Linked DNA regions of Struthio camelus. The protein of the gene in region 1 interacts with the protein of each later gene in a biochemical or structural test. Links are inferred from orthologs where the notes say so. Each region holds a gene or a part of one and is shown in the gene's direction. Other genes may lie near its edges. The genes, in order: RNF8, UBE2V2 and ubiquitin-conjugating enzyme E2 E2.

Region 1 (7,585 bases):
TGGGACTGAACAGGAGCTATGTGATATTCTTCTTCCCTAAGGCAGCAACTCTTACTCACCAACACTTCCACTACAGTAGGAACCAGGGAGGCCAGGAGCCCAGGTGGGGCATGGAGGACTTCAGAGCAAAAGCGGACAGCCCTGCGCAGGATCCGACGCAGCACCAGTCTGAAAGCAGGGCACGATTTCCTAGATAGCCCTGTGAGCATCCCTGCCCTGCCCCCACATCCAGCACACCCCACACGCAACTCCTCTCTGGCCTGATCTATCCATATAGGCCAGCTGCACCCCACTCTTCACATCTATCTGGGGATGACCCTGCTGATCTTAAATGCCTCCAGGCCCTCTCCTTCGTGTTTCTACACAGCTCACCCACTCCCTGTCTTTGACCCCTTCCACAACCTCTCCCCTAGGGCTGCTCATATTCCCTTTCCTTTCCGGAAACTCCATCCACCCTGTGCCATTTCTGCATGTCCTTACTCTGCTCCAGACAGGCCTGGGTAGATGCCGTCAGTGATGCACACGCACAAGGTACGCACATGATCTGCCACCACGCGGTAGGCCATATTCACACCCCCAACGTCAGCCTTCCCGACCAGACCTTGGTATCTGGGCCCCCCACAGCCCTAGAAGAGAAAGTAAGGAGACAGATTAGCAGCTGTGAATAGCTGTAGAAAAAAAAAGTTGCAAGGTAAGACAGCCAGCTACACACTTGACTTCATGCTTGTCAACTGCCTCTGCAGCCTACGATGCAAGATGTACTCATAAAACCTTCTGAGAAAATTATAGGCTTGTGTGCCTAAGAGATGTCAACCAATGCCCTGGCCCTGAGGTATTTAACAGACCCTTGGAGAAACACGGATCAGTAGAGCTGTTATCCCAGTGGATTCCCAATCTGGAATTTTCCCCAGCTTCTCTAGAATGCTGCTGTGGGCCTAGCTACACATACCTCCTGTCTTAAAATACTGCATAGTAATGTGTGTGGAGAAGGCTGTGTTATGGTACCAGTCAAGCAGTCTGCATTCATGGGGCTTTGGCTTAGCTGCGGCTCTGAACAGGAGCATCATCACCTTGTGAATGGCATCCAGGATGGGAGTGAAGAGATCTGTGTCATAGTTGGAGCGCTTGTTCTGCAGAACTGTCACCAGCCTTTCCAAACCCATTCCTGTATCCACATGGTGCTGGGGCAAGGGAAGTAAATTCCCCTCCACCTCTCTGTGAGCATGCCAGAAAAAAAAAAAAAAAGGCAAAAGAGAAGCAGGGGTCAGTCCAGGGCCAAGGAACAGGAGTGGACGAGTCATAGGGGATGGGAGAGTGACAGCAGGTGGAAATAGCACTGGGGCAGGTGACTCAAAAGAAGAAATCTCAGGGAGAGGACTAACAGCAGCCGGAGGTGGCACTGCTGGGCAGCCATGCTCTGACCATTGGATAGTCAGAACATGGTGTAGGGAAAAAGGCCTGCCCTGAACAGGGGCCTAAGCCCTTCTCCTCCTCCTAGCAGTTATTTTCTGTGCTGCTGCAGACCTAAAGGAACATCTGGGATGAAGCAGTGAGGGAAAAGAGGCAGCACAGGCTGAGGAAGGACAGGAGAAGCATGGCAAAGGGGGCCTATGGGCCACAATGAAAACACATTTCCACTGCTTCCCCTTGATCCTGTACCGCCACCTCCTGGAAAGCAGTGAGAAGTCTGAAAAATTGACTAGGGTTTGGATGTCAGAGGAGAGGGAAAGGCTCCGAGATCTGGACTGGATGCCTAGTACCTGCTATACTGCATAAAGACCAGGTTCCAGATCTCCACTACATCAGGGCTGCCCTGGTTCACCAGTGCTGCAGCGTTTCGGCCACCACCCACGTGGTCATAGTGGATCTCTGTGCAGGGACCACAGGGACCTGTGTCCCCCATCTCCCAGAAGTTGTCCTTCAATGGGAAAGGAAGCACATGGCTGGCAGGCACCCTGGAAAGGCAAACAACAGGGATGGCAGGACTGGGGCACACACACAAAATACAGATTAGCCTAGATCACAGAGAAAGTTGGAGGCAGGATCCCTTCTGACTACTACAAACTCAGAATGTGAACACATTAAGGTTCATTTGCTTCTGTTCACACGGAATTAACCTCCTTAGCAGGGGTAAGCTGGACCAAAGCAGACAGATCCTACTCACTACTCAGCATGGCTAGCAAGCTCAGTCTGGCCCCTGCTGATCGATGGCCAGCTCTCTGTTGGGTCTTCTGTTGGGTCTTTTCTCCCTGGAGGTTAGCTGAGCTAAGATCTGATCAGGACAAACAAAGCTGGACACCAAACATGGCACAGAGTTATCAGCCTTCAGCCCAAAGTCTGCATACAGCCTGGAACAAGCTCCCAAAGTACATCAGGGCTTCATCCTCAGGTTGAGGGGGCCATTGCTAGCTTTTTGAGGACAATGCGATCTCCGCAGCTCGTGACGGAGAGGAAGCAAAGGATCACACAAAGAAAAGAAGGATAGTGGGAGTAGCATTACCGCACATGGAACAGAAATCACCACGTCACTTCATCCCGGTCAGACAACCTTCGGTTCACAGCCCTTCTAGACTGACTGCATCTGAACAACAGCTTAAAGATGAAGTCCCCCAGAGTGCTCCGAGTTTTGGGACTTTTAGCAGTCCCAAAAAAGCAGAAACCAAATGATTTCAAAGCCCAGTTTTTGGCTCCTACATCTGAATCCCATGAATTAAAGAGCAAATGAGAGACTATGGAGACTGAAACGTCAGTACTTGCTGCTCTGAACTTCTTCTCCAACACAACTTACCCCAGGCAGAGCCATATGTCCCTACACTCCTCGTCTGCGCTCAGCCCCAGCGAAGAGTCTCCACCAAAATAGGTGACGTACAGACGATCTTTGGGAATCTTGTAGACTTCTGTCAAGAGCTCCCAGGCCATACTACATGCCTCCTCCTGAGCAGGCAGGGAACACCGAGGAAGTACAGTAATCCAGGGCATGAAGGGAGACAAGAAGGTTCTTTAGAATGGGAGTCAAACACCAAAGAGGCTAATTTCAGTTGTTCTGTCCCTCTGCAGTCTTAAGACATATGTCAGTGAGTATGATGGGGGTCAGGCCAATTATAGACAGTTCTTCAAATAGCTGTGGGAAACTGTGGCCTTCCTAAATCCTTGGGAGACCTTCAGGATCACAGCATGGTCTACACTGACCTGCTTACCCGCACAGTCACATGGATTATTTTCTTTCCTAGGAAGAAATGCATATACTAGAAAAACAATTAGCATTCTTTATCCTTCTCCCTTTTCGAACTTTCCAGTAACAAGCACAAAATGAAACAGGAACCTTTTTTCACCCATATTACATGGTCAACACTGGCACTCACACAGGGCGCTTTGGTTTGTATATGCGGTTGGCAGCTTTGCAAAGGCTGGGCACTTTCAGAGAAATGAGTTCTCTGCCGGGCACATTTAGTGATTCAGCACGCTGACTACCTCTGCTGCAAGCCACAGAGCTTCCAGCAAGGAATTCAGAGCTCGCCAAAGCCTCGTGCAAATACCTTTATGGTGCTACAAGACAGATCTGATGCTATAAAAGAAAAGCTGTATCTCCCCCTGGAGAGGGCTGACTCTCATTGCCTCACCTTAAAGTAATCTCCAAAGGACCAGTTCCCCAGCATCTCAAAGAAGGTGTGATGGTAAGTATCTCGGCCCACATCCTCCAAGTCATTGTGCTTCCCTCCAGCGCGCACGCACTTCTGGCTGTTCACCACCCGCTTGTACTGTGCTAGCTCGCTCCGGGGATGCACCGTGCCCAGGAAAATGGGCTTAAACTAGAAATCAAGGCAGAGAGACATCTCCTGTTGCTAGACACCGTCCAGCATAGCAGGCTTATGACTGTAGCTCCAGAAATACAGATAGGGAGCTACAAGCAGAAGATATGCACATGGAGATGGGAGAGTCGTGAGGTGACAAGGAGGTACAGGAGCCGATCAGGCCACAGGCTTTCCTGTGAAAAAGGCTTTCCTGCTACAGATAAACCGCCTTCCTCTGAGGAAGAGGAGTTCCCGGGAAGCCCGCCCACGGCGGCCTGCAGGCAGGGGCCCCAGGCAGAGCACAGCCGAAGCCCTCGGCTCCCGGTCGGCCGCAGGCCCCGGGCCGAGCCCCGACAGTGCGGAGAGCCGGGGGAGGGGGCGGCGGGGCGCATCGCCCCTCGCAACCGGTCCGCGGGGCGGGGGGAGCACCTGGTTCATGCCCGCGTTGACGAAGAGGAGGCGCGGGTCCCCCCGAGGCCGCACGGGGGCCGAGGGCAGGCGGCGGTGGCCGTGGCGCTCCTGGAAGAAGCGGAGGAAGGCGGCGCGGACCTGCCCCGCCGCCGGCCCGCCGGTGCCCCAGCGGCGGGGGCCGCAGCCCCAGCGCCACGGCACGGCCGGCAGCAGGCGGCGCCGCAGCCGCCCGGCCGCCGCCATCTTGGCCGAGGGCGGAAGGCGGGCGAGGGCGCCTTCGGGAAGGGCAGCGAGAAGAGCGGGAGGAGCCAGGAGAGGGCGCGTGGCAGGGGCCGATGGGATCGAGGAGGGCCGCGGCTGGGCCCGGCAGCGCAGGGCGGGGCGGGGGTGGCTTCCCGCCTCCGTTCAGGGTGTGTGCACTGGGAGCGGCCGGGACGGCCGCCAGCCCGCCGCCCGGGCCTCCAAATCCCCCGACTGTGGCGGGCGGGCGGACCTCGGCCGGCCGGCCTGCCCGTCAGCACCCCGCTCCTAAGCCCGTGGGGCGCCCTGCGAGAAGATGCGCACCACAATGGCGCCGCTCCTCCCGCCCCGCAAATCCCCCAGGCAACGCCGCCCGTACGCCGCCGCCCCCCACCGGGCGCATGCGCAGCCCCCCCAACCCCCTCCGCGCTCCAGGCTCGATTAGCCGGGCTGCGGGGCGGTGCGCCGCCGCTATGGCTCTGCGGCGGCTCTGCCCTCGCGAGAGCGCCGCGGCCGGGAGCGGGTAGGCGGTGCCGCCGCCGCCGCCGCCGCCGCCTCAGCAGCGATTGCTTCTGCCTGTCGCAGCGGCGGGAGGGCGGGCGCCATGGCGGCGCGCGGGGCCTCGGGCTTGGCCTGGTGCCTCCGCCGGGTGGGGGCGAGCGGCGACTGGCTCCTGCTGGAGGCCGGCACCGAGGTGAGTTGGGGGGCCGGGCCGCCGCTGGGCCCCGCCGCGGGGCCCCCCCCGGGTGAAAGCCGCGGGGGCGGCCCGGCGCCCGAGGCACGGCCCTCGCCAGCCGGGGTGAGGCGGGGGGAGCGGCCCGCCTCTCGCTGAGCCCCGGCTGGGGGGCGGGCGGGTGACTGTGGGAGTGTGCTGTTTTGAGAGCCTGTTTACTCGCTAATGCGCTTTCCAGAAAAAAAAAAAAAAAAGCTATCTAGGCTAATGAGCGGCAGTTGTTAATTATTATTCAGAAGAGCCGGTCATTAATCCCAGTTTATAAATTATTTCCCCTAAAGCAGTCTTGGTGAAGCGTTGCTCGGTATTTCTGCGCTTTCTTAAAGACCGATCTCCCCCCGATTACAACCAGTTTATTTCAACGCCAGTAACTTGCAAGGGAGCAGAAAGCGGGGTGCTGCTTTTGAGATCAGAGGTTTAAACTTAATGTGCTATGTCTTCAGACGTTAACTTTTTTAACGTGATGTCATGTTTAAGCAGAAGTTGTTTGTGTGATAATGGTAACGTAAGAAAAAAAAAATCCTTAGCCTAATTAATACCGTGATGCTCTGGCGAGGTTAGCAATATGTGACATATTTAGTTTTAGTGGCTAAAGTTATTCAAGTGTAAACACAGCCAGTATTTTCAGCCATTTCAGTTATGTTTCAGAATGGCATAGGTATAAGCTTTTCTTCTGTTATCATTTTTTTTTAGTTAAAAAGCCAAAACAGATCTTTTTACTCTTGAAGTGAGATGACAAATTACCGTATTGAAGATACGGTGCTACAAGAGGATTGCAGTTTTTATGGTCAAAAGCAGGCAGTTAAATGTTGTGGGTTCACACTGTAGTTAATTCCTTTGTGCTTATGCCTTGCACAAGGTACCCTTGCTAATTCATCTTTAAACGCTAGGCAGATCTTTAGGCAGATGTACGATGTGTTACTTTCACTCATGGATTTGAAGCCAGCAGGGGTGTAAGTGTGCTCAGCTAAGGAACTGAGTAGTGGAGTTGCAAAACTTGCAATAAGGGCTCTGGTAATTGGATGGAGAATCTTGTTTACGTGTTTTTACCCTAGTTATTGGCATACTGTTACCCTCCCTCTCACAAGCAACGGAGTAAATGTGTGGCTGGTGCTTAAGGCTTACCAGCTTACAGTCTGGCACGTTGGCTCCAAGTGCTGTCACTGGGGCTTTAAATGGTGGTGTCAAACTGTATTGCTGATAGGTATGGGGGTGCGTTATGTTGTGGCAGTGATGAACTCTAGCAGGCAAGCGGTAACGTCTGAAACCCCACGGCTGTTGCTCTTTGCTCAACGAACGTTAGCGAGGGGAAGTTTTATGATTGGCTCTACGCAGTCTTGGTTGTATTGGCACTCTAGGCCACAAGACGTGCATGACCGAGAACTAATAATAGTTGATGTGGCTTAGGCATTTCTGCACAGACAAAAGCAAAGTTGTGTGTATAACTGAATCCACCTGAAGTTCTTGCTGATATGGAGGGAGCTGTATGGGGCAGACAGGAAGGTGGTGGTAGAGAATCATCTTCATTTTGAGAATCATCTTCATCTTGCAGAAGCAACCCATGTTGACAGAACATTAAGAGATGTGAAGCATTTAAGAGGTAGGGAATTCTGTGGTTCAGTTTGCTTTCCTGATCTTAGTTAGCTTCCTTGCATTTAGTTACGATGTGGGAGTTTGAGCCCTTGCTTTCAACTTGAAGGATGGGACTGTTTCACGTAACATGTAGTAAATTAATTTTCCTTGGCTGCAGGATCTTGCCCTCTTCTTGTAGGAATTGGAAGGTGTGATGCAAAAGAGTTGGAATTGCAGGGGGAAAAAGGGGGCAGTTTTCATCTAAGACATACAGACTAGGTTGTATTTTTATAATATGCCTAGTCTGATTTTACTGTGGGCTTCTGCTAAATGGTGTATTGTCCTGCTCTTTCTGGCTGCACGTTCTTGTATCTATTGCATTGGATTCATGCAGTTGTCTAATTACATGGTAAACTGGCTGAAAACTTGTCCTTTCTAAAAGAAATTACTTCCCTGCAACACACAAATGAATAAGAAATGTCTGCGACTATCAGATCACGTGAGGAGGCAGTGGAGAGAGGGAGAGCAAAGCCATGCTTTAAATGGCAGCCTGCAATTAGATCATATTTTTTGATAAAGTATTGTGAAGTAGTACCATTACAAATTCTGTCCATTCTTCTTCCGGAAGGTACTGTGAGATTCTAATCAGATTATTGAGATCACCTTCACTAGTGGTTATGAATGGCATGTAGCTTAGTTTCTGAGCCCTAATGTTGATGGTGTGATTTACAGAAGTATTGCATGCTTAGGGCATGGTTACATTCACGCTTTTGGGTAGCAGTTTTCTAGGCTGTACTGTTTACAACAGTTGAACAGATGCAGCTAGTCAAAGAAAAGA
Region 2 (7,222 bases), on another chromosome or scaffold:
TGCAGCTGAGCTGCATCTGAAAAATAGAAAGTCTATGTTTCCAAGCAACTCTAGGTTTATGCTTGCAGCAAGCAATTATGACTGTTCAGAGAAATCTGGTTTTATTTTCCTAAAATAGATTTGTTCCTATTTATAACCCCTAGGTGGAAGAGAATCAGCCAAGTGACTTTACCCATTTCCACAATTCAGAACACAATAAATTTGACTGCATAATATAACCGTACTGTTCTTCCGTTTGAATGTTCCTGACCACTGAAATAGCCTCCTGGGGCAACGGAGTTCCGGGCCTAAGTTATACAAGGCACAGAAAAAGCTCCCTGACAAATGGAATGCTGCAAAAGGTATCTTTGCTTTAAACTAAAGTTCTGCACAGATCAGTTTGTTCACACCCCAAATGTAAAGCTGTTCTAACTACTAGAGAATTTTCTACAAGTATGTTCTTATCTCCCCGCTGGTTTTCTAGTTTTCCCCAAAACAGTAACAACTACCCCTGTCCTGCCCATGTTGTTGGTACTTTCGAGCTTCAAAATACTTCAGATTTAAAGAAGCGCTTCCTTAATTTAAAAAGGGAGCTAATTTTAATATATAATTTAAAGATAAATTAAACTAGCCAACAGAGAACACTTAGGCTTAAAGTGCAATAAAGGTAAAACTTTAAAATATAATTAAGCATATATAAAATTTTCCTATTTCAAAATTTACAACCAAAAAAAGCAAAATTTCAGTCAATTTACAGTCAAAAGCAAAATTTCAGAAAACAGAACTTTTGACTCTCCAAAACCTCTTACTGTTTTCTAACCTGCTCATAAAGTTTTTCCTTTGGAAGAGGAAAAAAAAAAAAAAAAGTCTTTTCATGTCATATTGATTAAATCAAATTAATCTTCTTAAGAAGGCGTAACAGGTAGAAAAATCAGTAATAGGAACATAGTCACCTGCTAAAACTAGGACACAAAAGGTCGGCCAACTCTAAAGGATGCCTCTCTTGAAAAATACGGAACTCATTTGGTAAAGGTTTCTGTAGAACACACAAAAAGGAAGGCACAGATGGCAAGTATTTCATATCCATACTGTACTCTGCATGCTTATTTAATTTTCTTAATAATGAGTACTGTTTTTTTGGGAGATAAAATAGTAGTTCACCTTATCTGGTAATAAAGTCACACATACACATGCAACCTACATATATGATACACATTTATGAAAATACGTATGTATAAACACAAAAAAAATCATGCCTATAATGAAACAGCACTGGCAGTGTCTTGGCTTCAACTCTGGAAGACAAGAGTCGGAGAACATTAAGAAGGGTCTCCAGTGTTTCCTGTTACTCGATGTTAAATGGTTAGTCTTCTCTCTTTGAAAGTGGCATCAAAAAAAAAAAAAAGGAGTAACTTTAGTTTACTTTATTTCTAATTTATGGTTGTGTGAAATCAGGAGACATAATGAGATCTACTTAGATAGTACTGGAACATAAAGATTTGTTGGCCTAACGTGACTGACATATATACTCTGATCTCCCCAAGAATCAAATACCAACATGCTTTAATGTTTTCCACCCTCTCACATCCTCACTCTATCTCGTCATTTAACTTGGAGGATCCAAGCTATATCCAACATACTTACATTTGCCCAAATAGCTGCTGATTCAGTGTGTCTGCAACTGTTGTAATCAGTGCTCAGCTGACAACCTTCATCAGTGGGTCAGAAAACAAACCTGAAAAGGATAGAAAGAAGTAGCAGCCGGTAACAGAAGACAAACAGTTGAATTTGCTAAAATCCTATGAAAAGCGATCTCGGAGGACTGTATTTCTCTTTCCTGAAAAGAAAGGCAGGGGAACTTGACTGAATCCTTCAGAAGCCTTGTAATAGTTTGGCATTTTTATTTGCTTTGATTCTAGGGAGAAAAAAAAAAAAAGAAGACAAGAATTGTGAACTTTTAATTAATCTTGCAAATACAGTACACCATTGCTTCTCCGAAGGAAAGAGTCTCTTGAACTACATTTATTAAATAACTCTGAGAAGAAAAAAAAAAACCTCTTTTATAGTCTCCTTCTTGATTTGCCTGACGTTCCTTAAGATATACAGATCGCACCGGCACGTAGGGCTCCCTCAACTCTCTCAAGATCTGCTCCAAGAACTTGGTGATTTCAGAAAGCACAATAACTAAATCCTAGTCTTTGCAGGACGTACAGGTTATTACCCAAATATGAATGTCTCCTTTTTTATAACTAGGATTATATTTGCACTCATGAAATAAACCGGTCAATATCAATGTTTAAAAGATTTTACTGAGCCAAATATTTAAGAAACATATCCTAAGTTGTCCTCTGCTTAGGTATAGTTCTTGGTGTGTCATAACATAATTCAAAAAGAACGCCTTTGGGAGCGCTCAGCAGACATTAAGTCAGTTCTTAGCTACAACCAGAACTCAAAGAATCAGAGACAGTGAAGGTTTATCAGGCAATATTAGGCTGTATTATCTTTTCATGAAAGTTATTCTTCCTTCCCAGTGCTGTATAAAAGCTTTCCATTTAACGTAGGTCACACTTAAGTTTACTTTGCTGGCACCAGGACAGACACTGGACTAGTCTGCACTGGAACATGGGTGGTGACACTCACTCTTTAGTAAAATACTAGAATGCATAGCAGGAGGAATGTCCCTAAGCCTGTGCCTGTCTTTCAGACAGGTAGAGGCCAACCACAGCTCCTGTTTGTGTTCAACTTAATCACAAACACAGCAGGAAATACTCAGCTATTCAGGCAGCACTGTCTGTCTATAAAACTACCCAGTGACGTCTCCAAAGAAAAAGTGATAGGCTGGATTTTAACTACATTTTATATCTTTTTAATATACAAAACCAAGTCTCACAGATTATCAAGCTTAACTGTCTTTTGCCACGTTCCCATGAGACAAAGATTCTGCCTGTGCCTCACTCTCACTATACAAAAACACAACAGAATCGGAGGGAAGGCTGCACACTGAGACTTATAATTTCTGCACGACCTATTTCTGAACCAGATGTACTTAGTGAGCCATCTCTGAACATGCAAATTGGAACTGCAGGCCTCACTCTGAGCCTAATGGCCTAATCTTCTGTGAAGTGCATCAATGAGAGAAGGAAAAAAATCCTTATTAGGATTCCTGCACCTTGAGCTCTCTCCCATGGATTTTACTACATAACAAAACTACGTAGTCACCAGTAAATGATAATTTCTCCAGTATAATTAAGTAGTTTTGAGAATAATAATCCCACCCTTCCCCCAAAAAAGGGAGAGAAAGAGACCAGAAGAACTGGTTATACAGAATGATTTGAAAAATAGGCTTGGCTGCAGCATTCAGAGACTTAGGGTATAAGAACTCACTGACATTCAGTGCATACTTAGCATCTACTTCCTTAGGCCTACTTGAAAAACCTAGCCCTTGTCTCCACTGACTACATACACCACTGTACTACAAGGTTATTCTAGAGTTTAAGCAGGGAAACATCCCTGCCAGTATGAGAGCTGCATTCACTGATGAAGCTACTTTACTTAAGAGTGCACTCAACACACAGGTAGAGCAGAAAAACATCATAGCCAGACTGAATTAAAAACTTAAGTAAGCTTAAATTAGCACCTACTTCAGCAAGTTCTTCAGCTGGAGTTGTTCTCGATTCCATCCTTCCAGCTGTTTCCTGGATGCAGCGCTACATTCTGAACGCACTCTGAACAACATCAGGAAGGAAAACAACAGCTATTAAGCTTTTACAAAGAAAGACTGGTGTCTCAAGCAGGGGTTAGAAGCGCTGGGAGTTGAGGCCTGACTCATACCAGTACTGTAGTAGCAGTAAGTGCTACATATGGACCCCCACAACCATCCCCTCTCCCGAGCAGCACCCCCAGCCAGAGCTCTGAACGGATCCATCTGAGCCTTCACCCCTAAAGCAAGCACCCCCAAAACCTCGAAAAGCTAGGCTGTGTGAAACCGCCAACTGGAACAAACATCACGAAGAGGAAACCTCTCAGCAAGAAGCTGTGGAAGGACTGCAAACTAACCTGCTCCGCCAGCTCCGTCTTCGCGGAGCCCAACCCCGCTTTGCTTCGAGCCACCAGCCCCCGCCCCCTCCCAGGACAGCCGTTGCCCTTCCTTGCCGGGCTCCCGCCCCGCCCCCCGCTGTGCTAGAAGCTTCTCCGGCCGCGCATGCGCCCCCGCCCCCTAACGGCCGCGCCGCTCCGCCCTCCACACGGTGCGGCCCCAAATGGCCTTCTGCGCAGCGCCCGCTGTAACGTGGGGCTATGAGCCAGTCACGCAGGGAGGCGGTTTCCCGGTCCTTGGTACGAGCTGCGGGATGGGGGGTAAGTCTTCGAAGCAAACCTCGCGTGTACAATACGGCTTCACAAGGCCCAGTTGTGATGTTCCTGCCTCAGCAGCCCAGTGTGAAAAGTTACCTACTGTACCTTTTGGAGGGTGCGGAAGGCAACGTTGGAAAAAGCAGATTTTGTTCTGGGTTTCCCAAACGTGATGGCTTTGAATGGAAAATAGTAGCAGCTCAGCATATGCCTTTAGCTAAACCTGCAAATATTTTTGAAATGTAAGTTCATGCTTGTGTTCATGTCTGCACGTTTTGTTAGCACTGCTCTGAGGATGGAGGTTGCAAAAAGTAACGTATAAATACAAACATAGAGCCGTGTTTAAGGAGGGCAGATCTCTGATCTCACAGACACGTTTCTGATAGTTCATAGCATTTGAGAGCCTGAAATAACTTCAATTTACAATATACTTTTGTTTTTTGGCTAAAGAGATTACAAAACTTTAAGTTTGTTTGTGAAAACTTGTGTTATTCTAACAAAAAAGCTTGCGCTCTGAGCCTTCAGCATTGTATTGCCAGATTAACTACGTTAGCTGTGTAGCCGGAAAGGCAGTTTTACTAGAGGATGGGAAAATCCACCTTCGATCTCTTTAGCTAGAAGGGCTGGTGAAACTGATCTAGCTCCCTGTTCTCTTCTCACTCCCTTACTGCCTCTGAAAGTTTTGGGGTTCTCCATCTCCAGAACACTTGTAATTCTGTTATATTTACATGTTACTGAATCTCCCCACCCCCTAAAAAAATATTTAAAAAAAAAAAAAAAGGAAGATAGAGAATCAAAACCTTACCCTCAGCAAAAGCTGAGCAGATTTTCTGGTGGCAAAAGCTAGTGGTTTTTGGTAGCTCATGAGTATTCCTTTTGCTAAATATCGTGCTAGTACGATGACAACTATTTCAGTTTCTCAGAGGGATAACAGGTTGTGAGAATACATCAATGATATTAGACAGCCTTAAACAAAATCAGTGCAGACTTTGAATTTATTACCAGTTAATTACGATCATAGCAGCATTTGAATTTGTAGGAGCCGTCTCTAAGATAAGCCACCTGTGCTTAGATAAAGACAAAAAAATTGTCTTTCTTTATGCTAGAATAATAATACCCAACCAGGAAGTTATTCAGGATTGCCTATTCTAAATATACCTTTTGTCATCCCTGCTTAAAAAGGTTGGCCTCTGCCGTGGAGTAAGTAATGTTTGTTAGCTACCTCACTCCAAGCTTCTACAGATAATTAGAGCAGTGAACATGTAGCTGAATTTACCTAAATAACATCACATGAAAAACGCATGTGCCCTCCTTCCCTAGGATTTTATATTGTACTTGCTATTACGAACTCATTGCTTGCTCTAAGAAAGCTTCCCACAGAAGAAAATATGGTTGCTGTTTTTGTAGCCTTTGCAGAGTAATTTCCTCATAACTGTTCGAAGACTTCACCTTCAGGTTGACTTTTTTTTTTTTCATTGAAGTCTAAACACTCTGACAGTTATGTGAAGCTGACAGTGCCTTCCGATGGCCTACTCGAGCTTTATGTGTTCGTAACAGTTGGTCAATTGTTTTAATTAACTTTGAGAACTAGGATTTTGTGGTACAGAAAGCTATTATGTTTTGCCCGTAGTGTTTTCAGCGGAGAAAATATGCTGAATCTTGTGTGCATGCTCTAGCAGCTGCCATGGAAAAATGAATTATTTATTATTGCAGAGATCCCTCTTCACTTCACAAGTGCTACAAATACATCACTTTTATGTTGTTTTTAACCTTTAAAGCATTCTACAAATTATTAGTAAACTACATTACAAACATTCACTCCCCCCAAAAACAAGAATTGTATTTAACTTTGGCAGACTTGGTTTTAGTATTTTTAGAAATTCATCTAACGTAACTTAGATTTAGATGGCCATAAATCCCCAACAGCTTTATCCTTGCTTCTTATTCTCACTTGGACCCTTCAAGCCTTTAGAGAGCTAACAACTAACTCCATTCTTTTTTCTGAGTACTATAGTTAGAGAGCTAACAACTACCTTCTTTTTTCTGAGTGCTATATTCTTTCTTCTCACATTTTCTGGTGGCTGGCTGTTGCAGGCACCACCAGGAGATCTGTGGCAAATCAACAGTAAGGTATATCAAACATCATGTGAACGTTCCCATACAGAATAAAGACAGTAGATTAAGCTCTGCCTGCTTTATGTTACCACCTGTCAAAGAAGCCACCTCCAGAAACATTTGATCGATCACGTGTCCGTACTAACGTGGTTAAACCATCAGATTCAATGTCACCAGAAGCGAGTAAGTCGACACGAAAACGAGCCAGGGCAGTTATAAAGCAGTCAGATGGCAGTTCTGCTTCACATTCTGAGTTGATTTTCCCCTTAGCCTTCCTTTATGGATGAGTAATACCTTCCATTCTGCAGTCATGTTTTTGTGAAATGAGAAGTAACTCAGCAAACATTCATGGTCTGGTGTAGGGCTACCACGGCACAACAATAGCCTCTGCCTCTCTGTAAATGGAAGAGCGTAAGCTTAAGCAACAGTGAGAATGCCACTATGTGGTGGATTAAAGTATGTATATTTTGGCTGTAAGTGCAACTATACATTCGGCCTACAGAGAAGAGCACGAGTTCCCGCTGCCGTGTCAAATCAGGCAAAGTCTTCACATGCCTCAGAGAAGCTGAGTCCCAGTTCTCTTGTTGAGTATGTCATTTTATATACAGTAGGAAGCTTATGTTTCAAAGATACTATCTGAGAGACTTCCGTAGTTGATAAAGATGGGGAGGTGCAGAGTGAGCAGACAAAGTCAACTTCTGGGTTTGGTTGAGTTCTAAATATGCTGGATTAATCAACTACGTTCACGTGCAAGTTGTTAGGAAACGCCAGCGTGTGG
Region 3 (7,168 bases), on another chromosome or scaffold:
CTACTACAGCTACCTTCCCAAAATCTGTTCTTGCTACTCCATTTATACTACATGCTGATAGCTGGAAAACAAAATGAACAAGAAGAATCTCGATCTCTGAAACACTCAAACGCTGTGTCTTGGGGCTCCAGAGAGCAGGGTTCTGTGAATTGCAGTTTACCTTTGCCAACAAACAGAGTGGGATTCAGCCAAGTGGGAACGAAAGCAAAGCAAGATTGTAGGAAAAAAAGACAAATTAGGTATGATGTGAGAATGAACTAACTGAACACAGGAGAAAGAAAAGTAGCAGGGAGGTGGAAAAGAGAATACAGTACAGGCCAGATACAGGCTCTGGACTATCCTTATGGCTTTGTACTGTCACAGCAGTGTAAAGAAAGCCAATAATGGGAGAGGAATCCCTTAGTAGCATAAAGCTCCTATAGAGATTCATGCTATTCTACCTTCCCACCTCAGTTTCTCAGGATAGAGGACAGGACTGGAAAAGAGAGGGCTATAGCTGGCTATTGGCTGCTCTCAAAACAGCATGATAGGGCCCAAGAATCATCAAACACACTGAGCAGCAGGGAAGAAATGGGGTGAGTGACACAAGATAGGATAGCCCCTGCTGAGCTGAAAAGTGGAATAAGGTAGTTCTTTACACCTTTGTCCCCATTCCTCCAGTCCTCTGCTGATAATAGCTCGAAGGGATGAAATGATCTGATTCATTAGGATTTGGCTGAAAGAGATGAATAGAACAACAGAGTGCTCCACAGACAATTGAGTATTTTTGATCTCAATCTTTAATATGAAATACTTAAGTTTTGAGAGTGAATTATGCTATCACAAGAGAGCTACTGTTAACGCTTTCAGCTGTATCACAGTCGAGATACTTCCTGGTCTTTTCTCTACTTGAGAAAACCAATCCCCTCAATTTGTATGTCAAGTATATACAAAATTGTTATCAGTTATAACTTGACCACAATGCACATTTAAAAACTTAAATAGCAATATTAAAAGGACGTGTCATTTTACATGTGAGCAGATGATAAGTTATGAATGCAAATGCAGAAGAAACCTCCAAGACTGGAACCTAAATTAATCCGATATATCTTTAAATTAAACATTCTTAAATGGAAACTTGTCTCAGATTTCTCCAACTTCATGGATTTTGATTGACATATATGTCCTTGTAACAGGCATGCTGAACCAAGAGGCCTTAACGGAAGTGTCCTTAACTGTAACAGTCATAAAGCGTGGCAGCCTGCGCCAGGTTATCTTAACTCTGAGTGTCTCTCTGAGAAAGCTGTAAGCTTTTATGAGAGTAAAGAACTCAAGTTGTTCCGGAGGTGTCCAGTATTCTAAAAAAGTGTAACGTGTGGCTTAGCACCCCATCGTGGTTGAAATTTCCATTAAGTTCAAAAGGGCCAGGATTTCACCATACGGGATGCAAACTTAACAAAAGTCTTCAAAAAGATTTTGAGTAACACACTATCATGCAACCTTTAACATCTGAGGGCTAAACATACTATTTCAGAAGGCTGACAGGATAAAACTGATACTTGGGAGCAGTTGGTTACCCTGACCTATTCCCTTTACACGACATAGGTAGGGCTCATTCAAGACCTTCACTTCAAAAATCAGAAGGCACGCTTCAGTGTGCAAGTTCAGGCAGTAAAATTATTAAGTACAAATACAGTACGAATATTAAGGCAGTACAAATTTTCTCCCTAGCTTAGTTGTCCTCAATGTAAGGTACCATTTAGGGTTTTGGGCCAGAGGTTATGCACCCAAATTAAAATCAGGGCCCGACTCTCAATGATTCAAACCCTCCACTTGGTGCTCCACTTCAGCACTCCCTTGATTTTTTTGGCACCAGGAATTTATGACCCAGATTCTGGGACATGCTATGGCCCTGTCCTATCCCTCTCTAAAGGAGTCTATTCACCGAGCTTCCCTCTTGTTGCTTCCTGTGGATTCTAGCAGGGAAGAACTGTAACGAAGCACACGGAACTGCCACCAAAGCGGAGTCCTGACACGGGCCAAGGAGTTTCAATAGATAGATATTCTGATGGGAAAACGTATGCCTCCTTTAAGGCACCTCTAAGCAATCAGAACAACGTTAAGAAAGTATGGTGGAAGACTCATTTAGAAGTGAATTTCATAGCTTCCTGGATGGTTTTCAGGAGGTCTGTTTCTGAATGCCTCAAAGAAAGGCATGATTTAAGTGATTTTGGAAAAGGAGACTGTGATACCAAGAGCGCGCAACACAGCCGGCACCCCTTCAGCATGATAACAAAGCACCACTTGCAGGAGATTTGCATTCGTTAAAAGATTGTTATGGATCATATTCTTTTAATTACCTAGTTATTAGTCCTTGTGAGGAATCAGTGCATGCCAGCAGCTAGAAACCCACCTAGCTGGAGCATCAGGAGCTTTTCCTCATGAGTTCATTAGAAGAAGGAGGAAAAGGTATCTTGTAAATGCACGTGAAATAGGAAGAACTAGCCGACTGCAGTGTTTTTAAGCCTATGTGAAAAACGTGACTAGGATTACTTTAATAAGGAAATGGGAAGACACAATAAAACAAGTTATTTCAAAGCAATTACTCAACAAAGAGAAAGATTAATTTTATGTAGATGGAAACTGCAAAAGTAACTTCTGTTGTCTGGATATAATATGAGAGAGAGGTGGCAATGGTGTTTCTAATCCTTAAATATCGCAGCAGTGGTTCAAGTTCTTGATTTGCATGTGTTTAGCAGTATGGACTCCATCTACACCATAACCGCAACTCAGAAAAAGTACAGTACTTTACAGCTCACATGGGGAGAAACTTTTCCTTGTACATGTGGAATAGCATGAATGCATTTTTTTTTTAATTCCCTTCAGTCATCAGTAAGGGGAAAACATTATGACCTGCCATTACTCCTTTACCCAGGGTGGGTGTATTTCCCTGCTGGCCGAAGAAACGTTTGAATTAATATATTTGCACAGCCCAGCTAAGCATCAGTTGCATGTTAGGCGAAGCTTGAAGAAGTAATGCCAGTACAGCGTTTTAGGCAGAACTAGCATTTCAGCTAGGGCGGTAGAGCTGGTTACCTCACAGCCAGCCCTGCCAGGGGTTTGTTTCGTTCCAGGCTAATATCATTAATACCGAATAGGTAACATCTAAGCGTGGCTCTGCCTTGGCCTCTCCCACTCCGTAAGGCAAGGCCTCCCTCCCGGCGTGGGAGGCCAGATGCGCTCACCTGAGCGCAGCCACGCTGCAGCACCCATCTCCAGCCGGGATGCTTTACGTCATCGGCTGCTCTCAGCCGCCCCGGGCTGTTTGTACCACCCAGCCGCGTATCCGCGGCCAAAACGACCACGGCGAACACTTAACTATGACAACAAAGTACCAGGTCTGGCCCTGCCGCCGCTGCTGCGCCCTGCCCGGCCACGCGTGGGTGCCCCCCTGCCGGCCGGGGGGCCGCCGGCCGCGCCTGCCCCCCCCCCCCCCGCCGGGCACCGGCCTTCCCCGCCCGGGGGGGGGGGGGGGCGGTGGGCGAGGACAAAGGCAGCGCGGTGGTGCGGGGCTCCCGCACGGGCCCGGCTGGCAGCACCGCAGCAGGCAAAGCCGCGGGGCTGAAAGCCGAGGGAACAAAGAAACGCGAAAAGGGCAAAAGAAGAGCTAAGAAAGTGAACCCCGCCGGCGCCGCCGCCTCCCCGCCCCCGCTCACGGCCTGCCCCCCCCTCCCCCCCCGCCGCACCCCGTTAACGCTCACTCCGTGAGCTGCTCGGGGGCGGCGGGCACGCCAGCGGCAGGAATTGGGGGGGGGGGGGAGAAGCGCTAACCTGCCCCCCCTCGCCAACGGCCGCCGCCCCCCCCCCCCCATCCTGTCACTCCTCCTCCCTGCCCGGCTCCGCTCTAGCCCGCCCCGCCCGCGTTTCCCTTTAACGCGCGCTCCCGCCGGCGGCGCCCTCCCCCCTCCCCCTCCCGCCCGGCCGGCCCCCGCGGGCACGCGCCCGCCCCGCTCGCTTGTCACTCCCCCCCCCGCCGCCGCCGCCGCCGCAAGCGCGCGCACGCCCCTCCCTCCCTCCTCGGACCGCCAGCGCTGGGGCGAATTGGCTGCCAGGCGCGGGCGCGCGGAGCTAGCCGGGCGGCGGCGCGCGCGAGTGCGCGCGCGCGCGCGGAGGCGGCGGCGGCGGCGCGAGCGCGCGCGCGCGCGGCAGCGGCTTCACTTCTCTCCGGGCAGCAGGGGTAGGAGCGGCGGTGGGAGCAGCAGCAGCAGTGGCCGCCGCTGCTGCTGAGGGAGCGAGGGAAGAGGCGGCGGGATTAAAGGAAGAAAGAAGAAAAGAAAGAAGGAAGGAAAGAAAGAAAGAAAGAAAGGGCGAGCGCAGCGGGCTCATGACTCAGTGACCGGCCGCAGCCCCCCTGCAGCCCCCCGCCCGGCCGGACGCGGGGCGCCCGCCTCGCATCGCCCCGCAGCCTGAGCCCGGCGCCGCCGCAGACCCGCGCTCGCCCGCAGGTAGCGGCGACCCCTCCTGCTCCCCCCCCCCCAACCCAAATCCCGGTCCCGTCCGCCTCCCCTCCCCCACGCCAGGGCCCTGCCCGCTCCCACGGTGCCTACCTCTGCCCTCACCCCCCCCCATGTCACCCCCTGTCCCCCCCCCAGCATCTCCCCGCCGCCCCTCCCCTGCTGCCGCCATTCCCCCCCCCCCACCCCAGGCACAACTCCGCCGGCCCCGCTACTTGCCCCGTCTGCCAGCGGCCCCCTGTTCCCCCCGCCCCGGCCCCGCTCCGCAACCCGGGCCGGGGCACCCCCCCCCCCGGACATCCCCCCCGCCTTCCTCTCGCGGCCTCCTCTTCCTCCTCCTCCTCCCCCCGCGCGGCACCCTCCCCCCCCCCCCCCCACGGAGGAGCGGGGCGGCGGGGGCGGGTGTCAGGTTTGGGAAGTGCCCGTGGCCGTCTCACGCCGTCCTCCAGGACTGCATAGTTACTGCACATTGTGTCTCCGTGACATGCGCCGCCCCCTCCCCCTCCGGGCAGGAGGAAAATAGGCGAGTTGTGCGTGTGTTGTGCGTGTGTGTGTGTGTGTGTGTGTGCGCGCGTGTGAGTGTGCGTGTGCGGGGCCGTGTCAGCCGCCGCGGTGCCCCCGCCGCCCCGGGCCGGGCAGCGAGCGGGCTCCCCTCTCTGCCCTGTAGTGTTGTGATCCTCTTGCCCTTTACGGTTTCTAATGAAGACGAAGTAAGGCGGCTGCTCCTGTCTCTTCATGGACCCCTGCAGAAATATTCAATTTATCTTTGCTTATAGGAAATTAAGACCGCTTTAGAAGGGCATCATCACTAGCTCTGCTGCCCTTGGGACCCATCTGCGCGCTGCCAGGATCTCTCTTTCCCTGACTGCTGGATTTTTTTTTTTTTTTCCTCTTGAGAAGGGAGGGGAAGGTGCCAGTGGATATATACGACAGAAGCAGGGTCTTCTGGACGTGCTTCACTTAGAATTTATAGTTGTACTTAACAGTTGTAGTCTCTGTCGATGCTGAATCATCTCATGTTAAGGGAAGGACTTTTAAGTCCTTCCCCCCCCACCACACACAATTTTCTCAGCACAACAGCAGGAAGGTTAAAAACCCTTGTCCTATTCCACATGTAGAATAGTCTGGCAGCCGAGGGAACTGGACATCGTGTTTCTCTTTTTACTCTGTGTGACTGTTGCAAACACACTTACGGCTGTCTAGATTCAAGAAATATCTTGCATTTGTCTGTCCTGATTGCACGGAAATGTTTTCCTACAGTGTCATTCCCCAGCTGATTTTTCTTTTCCATTCTTTTATTTGTTCATGTGCTTGTTTTCTAAGTTTGGCCACATCTGAAGTGTCTGACTTCAGGGCTGTTAAAATACACTTTTTTCACAGTATTGAACATCCCTTTAACTATGCAAAATTTCTAAAATTGCAGGCATTAGGAGCGGAGGGCATGGAAATAATTGTCTCTGGATGTCAGAAAGGCGAACAGAGAGAGATGGGGAGAGAGAGAGAGACACAGAGCTGTGAGAGAGAAAGAATAAGAAACTAGCCAGACGTCAAATGACAGATTTAAGCGTTTTCCTGTTGTAAATGCTGGCATTACATGTTACAGTAATTATATGCTCTGGGCTACTGTTACAGTGTTTATCTGCTGGATAGCAACCTGAACTTATGAAGTGAATACAGTTGTTTTTGGATAATAGTAATATTTATAGCCAAGATTATTCACAGCAGATGTCTATGTATATAGGCTTCATTAAATACGCTTTTGACTTTCTGACCAGTAGCGCTAAATGATAGGTACATTGTGAAGATAATTTTGTGTTTAAAATTAGATGCACTAATCAAAGATCAGAAATAGAATCTAGAGTAAATAAAGGCCATCAGAAACATGATAAAAACAATCAGTTTGTATTTTAGCTGCATATAGAAGCAAATGAAGCGGGTCCCTGCTTTCCAATTTTCATTACAGTTATTAAATTCATATTATGACTTATCAAAGTATGCTACTCTTGTCTTTTATTGTCTCTAAGTCTTTTTTTTCTTTCATCATAACATTTGACAGCCAGGTTATAAATATCTAAAGATTAACCTGTGCAAATATGTGAATAACGGTGAATATGATATTGTATCTATATTGCAGGGAAAATTGTTCTGCTAATAATGAACAATTTTTATATTTTAATTTTAGAAATCAAACGATATATTATTTCAGTTCATGCAGCAGCCTAGGTGTTGTGCTTTTGCATGTATTTATATATGAATATATATTTATAAAACACTGCTTTTATGAACCTCAAAATGTAGCGTAAGTTGATTAAGAATAACCTAGTCCCACATCCATCACTTGCTATTTTTTTTAACCTTTTAACTATTTTGAATGCATTTCATACTTCCAGATTTTCCTTTCCTTTCTGTGTAGCCTCATAAATTAGACAGGAAAGATTTAATTCCTGCTTAAGTCAATTGGATTGAGTTATGTGAATAATGCCTGAAAAGATTGATTCTTCCACTCTAAAGTGCATACTACTTGATAGTATCAGATGTTGGTAAGGCTTTTACAAGATAGGAGTAAATTTGTTTTCTTACATGCAACTCTACCAAAAAAGCTTATGGCCTTTTTAAAAGTATCCTTTTTAGCATAACCCTGTTGACAATGATGTGACGCTGCTTTTCCTTTGCTG

What was found.
Region 2: the proteins of RNF8 (region 1) and UBE2V2 form a complex in vitro, tested with the Homo sapiens proteins (2 studies listed by BioGRID). The link is inferred for Struthio camelus from reciprocal best matches to the Homo sapiens genes RNF8 and UBE2V2.
Region 3: the proteins of RNF8 (region 1) and ubiquitin-conjugating enzyme E2 E2 form a complex in vitro, tested with the Homo sapiens proteins (2 studies listed by BioGRID). The link is inferred for Struthio camelus from reciprocal best matches to the Homo sapiens genes RNF8 and UBE2E2.

Annotation. Positions count from the first base shown.
Region 1 is NC_090944.1:104,607,456-104,615,040, forward strand, and holds the start of RNF8 (E3 ubiquitin-protein ligase RNF8), read left to right. Parts: upstream 1-4,532; 5' UTR 4,533-5,046; coding exon 5,047-5,136; intron 5,137-7,585. Other genes in the region: AARS2 (alanine--tRNA ligase, mitochondrial), read right to left, coding at 60-168, 481-626, 1,071-1,215, 1,761-1,955, 2,789-2,934, 3,621-3,809, 4,221-4,445. UniProt on the Homo sapiens protein: E3 ubiquitin-protein ligase that plays a key role in DNA damage signaling via 2 distinct roles: by mediating the 'Lys-63'-linked ubiquitination of histones H2A and H2AX and promoting the recruitment of DNA repair proteins at double-strand breaks (DSBs) sites, and by catalyzing 'Lys-48'-linked ubiquitination to remove target proteins from DNA damage sites.
Region 2 is NC_090943.1:140,987,076-140,994,297, reverse strand, and holds the start of UBE2V2 (ubiquitin-conjugating enzyme E2 variant 2), read left to right. Parts: upstream 1-4,119; 5' UTR 4,120-4,238; coding exon 4,239-4,335; intron 4,336-7,222. UniProt on the Homo sapiens protein: Has no ubiquitin ligase activity on its own. The UBE2V2/UBE2N heterodimer catalyzes the synthesis of non-canonical poly-ubiquitin chains that are linked through 'Lys-63'. This type of poly-ubiquitination does not lead to protein degradation by the proteasome.
Region 3 is NC_090943.1:43,805,617-43,812,784, forward strand, and holds the start of ubiquitin-conjugating enzyme E2 E2, read left to right. Parts: upstream 1-4,120; 5' UTR 4,121-4,484; intron 4,485-7,168.